2 linked regions of the Saccharomyces cerevisiae S288C genome follow. The main gene of each other region encodes a partner of the protein of the gene in region 2 in a complex. Each region holds a gene or a part of one and is shown on either strand. Other genes may lie near its edges. A codon is read from its position in the direction of its gene.

Region 1 (3,753 bases), on a different chromosome or scaffold from region 2:
CACGTAAGCAGATCTCTGACTGGTAATGGACAAGATCGTGGTGGAATGCGTATTGTTTTCCATAACGACAATGATACCCCTGTGAAGTTGATTTATTTCGAATCATTGCCATGGTTCATGAGAGTTTACCTATCCTCTCTTCAAATTACTTCTACTACCTCTCCGCAATTGCAAGAAAACGATATCATCTTAGATAAATACTATTTACAAGCGGCCGATAGAAAAAGACCTGGCCACTTGGAGTTCACGATGTTAATTCCAGCTAATACGGACATTGTAATGACTTATCAATTCGATAAAGCTCTTCTGCAATTTGCCGAGTATCCACCAGATGCAAACCATGGTTTTGAAATCGATGCAGCTGTAATCACCGTGCTATCTTTGGAGTCCTCATCGTCTCTTTATGAAATGAGAACCTCTACCCTATTGTTATCCCTGTCTACACCGGATTTTAGTATGCCGTATAACGTCATCATTCTAACATCTACAATCATGGGACTCATATTCGGTATGCTATACAATTTGATGGTGAAGAGAATGGTCACCGTCGAAGAGGCCGATAAGATTACGTTGCAATCTGGCTTAAAATACAAATTGCTAAAGCTAAAGGAAAAGTTCCTAGGGAAAAAAAAGACTAAAACAGACTAACAATCTAGCATCTAGATATGTGTATGAAGTATACGTAGTTTACATAATCTGGAAGCACTCACTATTTACCATCAGTTTCTACTTTTTAAAAGGGATCCTCATATGGATCCTCTTCATCATAATCGTCATCCTTTTCGTACTCATAAACAATAGCACCCCCTTGTCCAAAGCTTTGTGCCTCCAGAAAAGGCAATGCGACTTGATCTTTGGCCAGCTTCTGTTTGTTGGATGTTCCTAGGTTGAATGTTGTTAATCCTTGCAACATTTCGGGTGTCTCCAGTCCGTTACTACTGCTCTCCTCTTCTTGCTTAGTGGTTGATAATAATTCATATTCGTGGGTGTTTGAATTTACTATGAAGTCGTATTCCAATGACCTGCCGGACTTTCTTTTATTAACAAGTCGTAATTGAAATATATCGTTATTTAACCCGCGAGGAATTCTAAATTCGTTTAACAATTCACTCACCTCCTCAGTATCGAGAGTGCCTGTTAATACCACATCAATATCTACTATTGTAGTGGCCATAAACTGCAGTAAAGTCAACTTATCAGGATAATTGTTATTCCAATCAGGTATTACCGTACGGTTCTCATCTTTGATGTCTTTATGATAAGTCGCAACCATCGTGCAGTGAGGAGAGGCGATCTCAGACAAAAACCTTGTTATGTATTCTGTAGAAATATAGTTCAATGAATCGATAATGACCATGTGCTTTTTTGCCTGTGTGGCAGTAGCAGCCGGTAGATATGATATAATTTGTTTCACTAAATGTACAAAATCCATCTGCGTAGCGTCAATAAATTGAGTACAGTACGATGGTTTATTCACTGTTTCGAACGAAATGTACACAATTGGATACTCATTTCCTTTACTCTTGCTCTGGTGGACGAATTCTTGGATGAGCTTGTATGAGGTCTGGGCAATAGAATCTAAGCACAAAATGAAAGGGGAGCTTTCTGTGAGCGATAAGATTCTTTTCAAAAGAATGACAGGGTTATGTGACGAACTGGCCATTATATCTTGTTCTACCTGTAGCAATAGCTTGGGTTGGAGCTATTAAAAAGCTCTTAAGTTATCATTCTCCAGAGGTTATAATGGCATCGCTTCTTATATTTGGATTTTTCAAGGTGACCCGCACTATGAGATGATAATCAAGGCAGCATTAATAGTATCAAAAATACTTTAATAAATCATCAATAGGTAGTACTTTACATAAGTATATAGAGGATTTTAAAACTTGTAAAGTTATTTTCGAATGCATTTGGTTTGTAGATTCCTTTGATTACATTTAGCGAATCCTATTGCATGCAGAGAAGGGTAAAAGATACATAATGCCGGAGATTTATGGACCTCAGCCATTAAAGCCACTCAATACGGTGATGAGACATGGGTTTGAAGAGCAATACCAAAGTGACCAACTTTTACAATCACTCGCGAATGATTTCATATTCTACTTTGATGATAAACGACACAAAACTAATGGAAATCCGATTCCTGAAGAGGATAAACAACGAGATGTAAATCGTTATTACCAGCCGATTACCGATTGGAAGATTATGAAAGATCGACAGAAGACAGTAAGTGCGGCCCTTTTATTATGCTTGAATTTAGGTGTCGATCCCCCTGATGTTATGAAGACACATCCCTGTGCCAGAGTTGAAGCATGGGTAGACCCATTGAATTTCCAGGACTCGAAGAAAGCAATAGAACAAATTGGTAAAAACTTACAAGCACAGTACGAAACTCTGTCTTTGAGAACACGCTATAAACAAAGCTTGGATCCTTGTGTAGAGGATGTCAAACGGTTTTGCAACTCGCTAAGAAGAACTTCTAAGGAAGATAGGATACTTTTCCACTACAACGGACATGGTGTGCCTAAGCCTACAAAATCAGGTGAAATTTGGGTTTTCAACAGAGGTTATACACAATATATTCCGGTATCTTTGTATGACCTGCAAACTTGGTTAGGTGCGCCATGTATATTTGTCTATGATTGCAACAGTGCTGAAAATATATTAATCAACTTTCAGAAGTTTGTGCAAAAGAGGATTAAAGATGATGAAGAGGGAAATCATGATGTTGCCGCGCCATCACCAACTTCAGCTTATCAAGATTGTTTCCAATTAGCCTCTTGCACTTCCGATGAACTTTTACTTATGAGTCCGGAACTACCCGCAGATTTGTTTAGTTGTTGTTTGACCTGTCCAATAGAGATTAGCATCCGTATCTTTCTCATGCAGTCACCCTTAAAAGATTCTAAATATAAAATTTTCTTCGAAAATAGTACTTCAAATCAACCGTTTGGTGATAGTAAGAACTCGTTCAAGTCCAAAATACCCAACGTCAATATCCCTGGAATGTTGTCGGATAGGAGAACGCCGTTGGGAGAACTAAATTGGATTTTTACAGCTATAACGGACACAATTGCATGGACATCCCTCCCCCGACCACTTTTCAAAAAATTATTCAGACATGATTTAATGATTGCTGCGCTTTTCAGAAATTTTCTTCTAGCCAAAAGAATAATGCCGTGGTACAATTGCCATCCTGTATCTGATCCAGAATTACCAGATAGTATAACCACACATCCAATGTGGAAATCTTGGGATTTAGCCATGGATGAAGTACTGACTAAAATAGTCATTGATCTGAAAAATGCTCCTCCCGCTACTGCCTTAGAGAGTCAGATGATTCTACAACAACAAGAAACCTTACAGAATGGTGGCAGCTCTAAGTCGAATGCCCAAGATACGAAAGCCGGAAGTATTCAAACACAATCGAGATTTGCAGTGGCCAATTTAAGTACAATGTCTCTAGTAAATAACCCTGCTCTCCAATCAAGAAAATCTATATCTTTGCAAAGCTCACAGCAACAATTACAGCAGCAGCAACAACAACAACAACAATTTACAGGATTTTTTGAACAAAATTTGACTGCTTTTGAATTGTGGTTGAAATATGCTTCAAATGTCAGACACCCGCCTGAGCAGCTTCCTATCGTTTTACAGGTTCTTCTTTCGCAAGTGCATCGTATACGTGCGTTGGTACTTTTATCCAGATTTTTAGATTTAGGCCCGTGGGCTGTCTACCTGTCACTTTCAATA
Region 2 (3,545 bases):
CGGAACTATTCAATGTTAATAACTTCATTGTTTCTTTGGCGAGACCATACTTGGCACCATTGGTGGTAAATGATTTGAAGCATGAAATAAAAACGTCAAAATATTACTATTATAAGCATTATCCAAATATGCCTCCTATAAACGCGAATACAGTAAGAAAAACACAGAGATCCTCTTCGCAATCACCCATAAAGGCAGGAACTGTCGAGGATCTTGAGCCAGAGCCTTTAATGAGCCCTGTGCCCCCAAGTTCGGCAGTCAACGATTCAGCAGAGTACATAATCCCAGAATTGGGCATACCGCAGTTGAACTTTACTGAAATGGAACCGCTGGCGTTTAAATTTAAGTATCATCTGGAAAGAAAATTAAAAAATATTGCCACTATGGAATTTCGACATAGGATGGAGGTATTGGATAATTTAGGCCTGTTGTGCTCATTAATAAAAAGACTAATAATTGATGAAAAGACTCCCAGATCAGCTACGGAGATTGCTGTGGTACCAAGGATGAAAAGTCTATCATTAACAAGGATTATTGAAGGTCAACTAAACAACATTCCATACTGGATAAAATCTGGTGAACGAAGTACATGGCCCGCACTAGCTTTAATTAAGACAAGATGTGCAGTCGAATTTAAATTAGACGACATAATAAGAGCAAGACGGAGTAGGTAGTATCGTTTCCACTTTTTTCTGTCTTATTTTTTTTATTGATAGAGCTCGATTGCATATATTTTTCATTGATATTGTACTTAAAAATATATTCAGTTCATAGAAAAAACAATAATACGAGAATCAATGTGCCTCGTATATAATCTTATCATTATTTAGCGATAAAATAGTTTTGTTGACTCCTTCTCATTCAGATATAGGTATTCATTTTCAACGACGTGTAGGCTTGTGTTTGAAGTTGCAATGGGTGCGCCGCCCCTGCAAACGTGCAATGAGCCGGTTACGTCCTTTGCAAAACCGGTCTTCAGAGGATTCAAGTTCAAATTAATCATTGATTTGATAAAGGAAGATTTGTAGAAATTTTGCAGATTCGAGGAATGAACAGAAGCATCGTATTCATCTATATTAAATATGTCCGAATTGGAAACAATGATTAGCACTTTGCATTGCCTCAAAAGAGGTGTGATGAACTTATTGTTTAATTCTGAACAAGTTAGGCCGCTTACTAGCGACAACAGTAATTCTGGTTGTTCGATGATAACAATGGTGTCAGTTGGGTTATTTTGTATAGCAGCGGAGAACTTTGCGAGTACGTCACTTAGTATTTTGTCTCTTGGCTTATTATGGATATTATTAACGATGAAGTCGGACAGGAAGTCTAAAACATTGTAGTTATTAGATGGGATCTTTAGCTTGTTTAATGAATTTGTAAAATAGTTCTGTTCGTGGATAAACGACGCAAGGACTGCATGGGAGCGAGTTGACGAAGGTAGCATCGATGAAGAAGATTCATTAAGGGAACTTGGGGAACCTAACACGTGCGTTTCTACTAGTGCGTTTATCATCCATAGTGGTTGAGTACAGGATTGATGGGTGATGAAGAATAAGTTATGAGAGTTGCTGTCTTGGAAAAAGTGGGCAGGAAGCACTGATTGGTCGCTGAATAGGACCAAATCTTGTCGTTGAACACTACCCATAAATGTGTATTTAGTTATTTTTGTGGAGGTTCTGGACGGTTTTTGCCTAACTTCTACTAGCCTCAATTTAGTACTTTTATTTTTTTTTCATTTTTCATTCTGCTCATCGCCTATCAATTCATGCCTAAGAGATGCAAAGATAGCGTACTATAGATGTGAAAAGTTGGATAAACAAAGCCCATGATATAAGCCACGGCTTCAGCCTTAAAATTGGGGTTAAAGGCTAAGAACGAATTGCAAATTCTTTTGCTTCAGCAGGAATTTTCCAACAGCAAAGTATAAAAAATCTATCTAAGCCGCTTTTAAATTAAGGAGCGTATATAAAATTATATAATCACACTCGAAGGACCAATCTGTGCTCTACATACCTTACGCGCTCTAATAATATGATCTATGCTTCATCAGTCTTGTTTATTCTTAAAGTATTTTTTTTTATGTTTGGTTCTTGTTATTGAACAAAAAAATGAATTAACCCGAACACTACCAAATCAATAGCAGAAGAAAAGAAGAAAATGATAAAATAAAGGTGAGAACCATTTTAAAGCATTATTCATTATGAAATCCTCCTATCTAGTATAACTTGATTCGACACCTTGCTAATATTTCTCTGAAGCACTGTCTTTAGAGGCAAAACGGTACTATCGCATATTCTTACCCGGTTTCAAGTTTTGCCCTCACGCTTTTTTAGGGAGAAATGACTTCCACCGAAAGGATAATTTGAGAACACCACTACAACTTAAAGTCCAAGAGCTTCATCAGTACAACGAGTTCGTATCATCAAGAACGCACATCAGCAGAATAATGGGAGGTATACTTAAAAACCCGCTAGCCTTATCGCCGGAGCAGCTGGCGCAACAGGATCCAGAAACGCTTGAAGAGTTTAGAAGACAAGTTTACGAAAATACGCAGAAAAATGCCAAATTGACATCACATAAAAGGAATATACCGGGACTAGATAATACAAAAGAGGAGGGGGAGATAATTGGAACATCGAGTACCTTCCTTCCAAAGGACACACTGTCACTGAAACATGAGCAAGACATGTTGGCCAAGATGACACCAGAAGAGCGAGTTCAATGGAACCAAAGAAATTTAGCAGAAAATGAAATAACAAAAAAGCAGTTCCAAGATATTCACATAGACGAGCCCAAGACCCCCTACCAAGGTGCTGTGGACCCTCACGGGGAATACTACAGAGTAGATGATGATGAAGATGAGGATAATAGTGATAAAAAACCATGCCAGGTGGCAAACGATGACATCGACGATTTGTCCCTGGGCGAACCGGAATTTGAAATCAAAGAGAACAAACAACCGGATTTTGAGACCAACGACGAGAATGATGAAGACTCACCGGAGGCTAGACATAAGAAATTTGAAGAAATGAGAAAGAAGCATTACGACGTAAGGGCAATTTTCAACAAAAAGTCCCGTGAAGCGCTAAAGGACGAAGACGAAGACGAAGATGATAGTACGACAAAAGAACCATGAAACATGACACCTCCATAACGTTTACCTATACTAAATATATCTTATTTTTTGGATTCTTGGTACATAAATATGCACTGTTTGTTATCACGCGAAACGAACTGATTTTTTAACAAGCTTTATTTTATACATGAAAAATTTCCCATCGATGAGCTGTGATCGGCAAGTGAGAGTACTCTGTTTCACAACTACTACCGGTCCCAGGAATATATACTACTGACCACAAAGCTGTGTATCACTTAGTTTGATGAGCAGCACGAGGAAGTTCAAAAAGGTTGAGAAACCTCTATCACAAACCAGACATTATTCACTCTGTATCCCCACGACATTGGTATCGGACTGTCGCAACCTCTCTCAAATCACGCATAAGGTGTACCAAGTGGCCAAGTTTGCATCGCTGTTTAATGTT

Evidence for each region.
Region 1: the proteins of ELP6 (region 2) and IKI1 are in contact, whole or in part, in a crystal structure (PDB 4A8J), measured with the Saccharomyces cerevisiae proteins. Residues at the interface, in NP_014043.1 of Saccharomyces cerevisiae: Asn27 (codon at 1,570), Ser28 (codon at 1,567), His29 (codon at 1,564), Phe33 (codon at 1,552), Thr35 (codon at 1,546), Gln37 (codon at 1,540), Ser164 (codon at 1,159), Asn167 (codon at 1,150), Asn168 (codon at 1,147), Lys169 (codon at 1,144), Thr172 (codon at 1,135), Pro173 (codon at 1,132), Leu175 (codon at 1,126), Arg176 (codon at 1,123), Phe190 (codon at 1,081), Asn191 (codon at 1,078), Ser198 (codon at 1,057), Ser202 (codon at 1,045), Gln205 (codon at 1,036), Asn206 (codon at 1,033), Tyr208 (codon at 1,027), Lys209 (codon at 1,024), Ser210 (codon at 1,021), Phe212 (codon at 1,015), Ile213 (codon at 1,012), Lys214 (codon at 1,009), Asn218 (codon at 997), Asn220 (codon at 991), Asn222 (codon at 985), Pro223 (codon at 982); in NP_012057.3 of Saccharomyces cerevisiae: Ile31 (codon at 1,573), Thr34 (codon at 1,564), Tyr36 (codon at 1,558), Phe60 (codon at 1,486), Glu61 (codon at 1,483), Thr62 (codon at 1,480), Val63 (codon at 1,477), Asn64 (codon at 1,474), Phe72 (codon at 1,450), Asp74 (codon at 1,444), Thr76 (codon at 1,438), Gln77 (codon at 1,435), Tyr111 (codon at 1,333), His136 (codon at 1,258), Asp138 (codon at 1,252), Ile139 (codon at 1,249), Lys140 (codon at 1,246), Glu142 (codon at 1,240), Leu187 (codon at 1,105), Asn189 (codon at 1,099), Glu190 (codon at 1,096), Phe191 (codon at 1,093), Arg192 (codon at 1,090), Ile193 (codon at 1,087), Pro194 (codon at 1,084), Arg195 (codon at 1,081), Gly196 (codon at 1,078), Leu197 (codon at 1,075), Asn198 (codon at 1,072), Asn199 (codon at 1,069).

Annotation. Positions count from the first base shown.
Region 1 is NC_001140.6:478,900-482,652, reverse strand, and holds IKI1 (Elongator subunit IKI1), read right to left. Parts: upstream 1,664-3,753; coding exon 734-1,663; downstream 1-733. Other genes in the region: GPI-anchor transamidase subunit GPI16, read left to right, coding at 1-648; ubiquitin-binding TORC1 subunit KOG1, read left to right, coding at 1,981-3,753. UniProt on the Saccharomyces cerevisiae protein: Component of the elongator complex which is required for multiple tRNA modifications, including mcm5U (5-methoxycarbonylmethyl uridine), mcm5s2U (5-methoxycarbonylmethyl-2-thiouridine), and ncm5U (5-carbamoylmethyl uridine).
Region 2 is NC_001145.3:896,508-900,052, reverse strand, and holds ELP6 (Elongator subunit ELP6), read right to left. Parts: upstream 1,649-3,545; coding exon 827-1,648; downstream 1-826. Other genes in the region: TGL3 (bifunctional triglyceride lipase/lysophosphatidylethanolamine acyltransferase), read left to right, coding at 1-674; PP1-complex regulatory subunit GLC8, read left to right, coding at 2,450-3,139; UPA2 (putative methyltransferase), read left to right, coding at 3,384-3,545. UniProt on the Saccharomyces cerevisiae protein: Component of the elongator complex which is required for multiple tRNA modifications, including mcm5U (5-methoxycarbonylmethyl uridine), mcm5s2U (5-methoxycarbonylmethyl-2-thiouridine), and ncm5U (5-carbamoylmethyl uridine).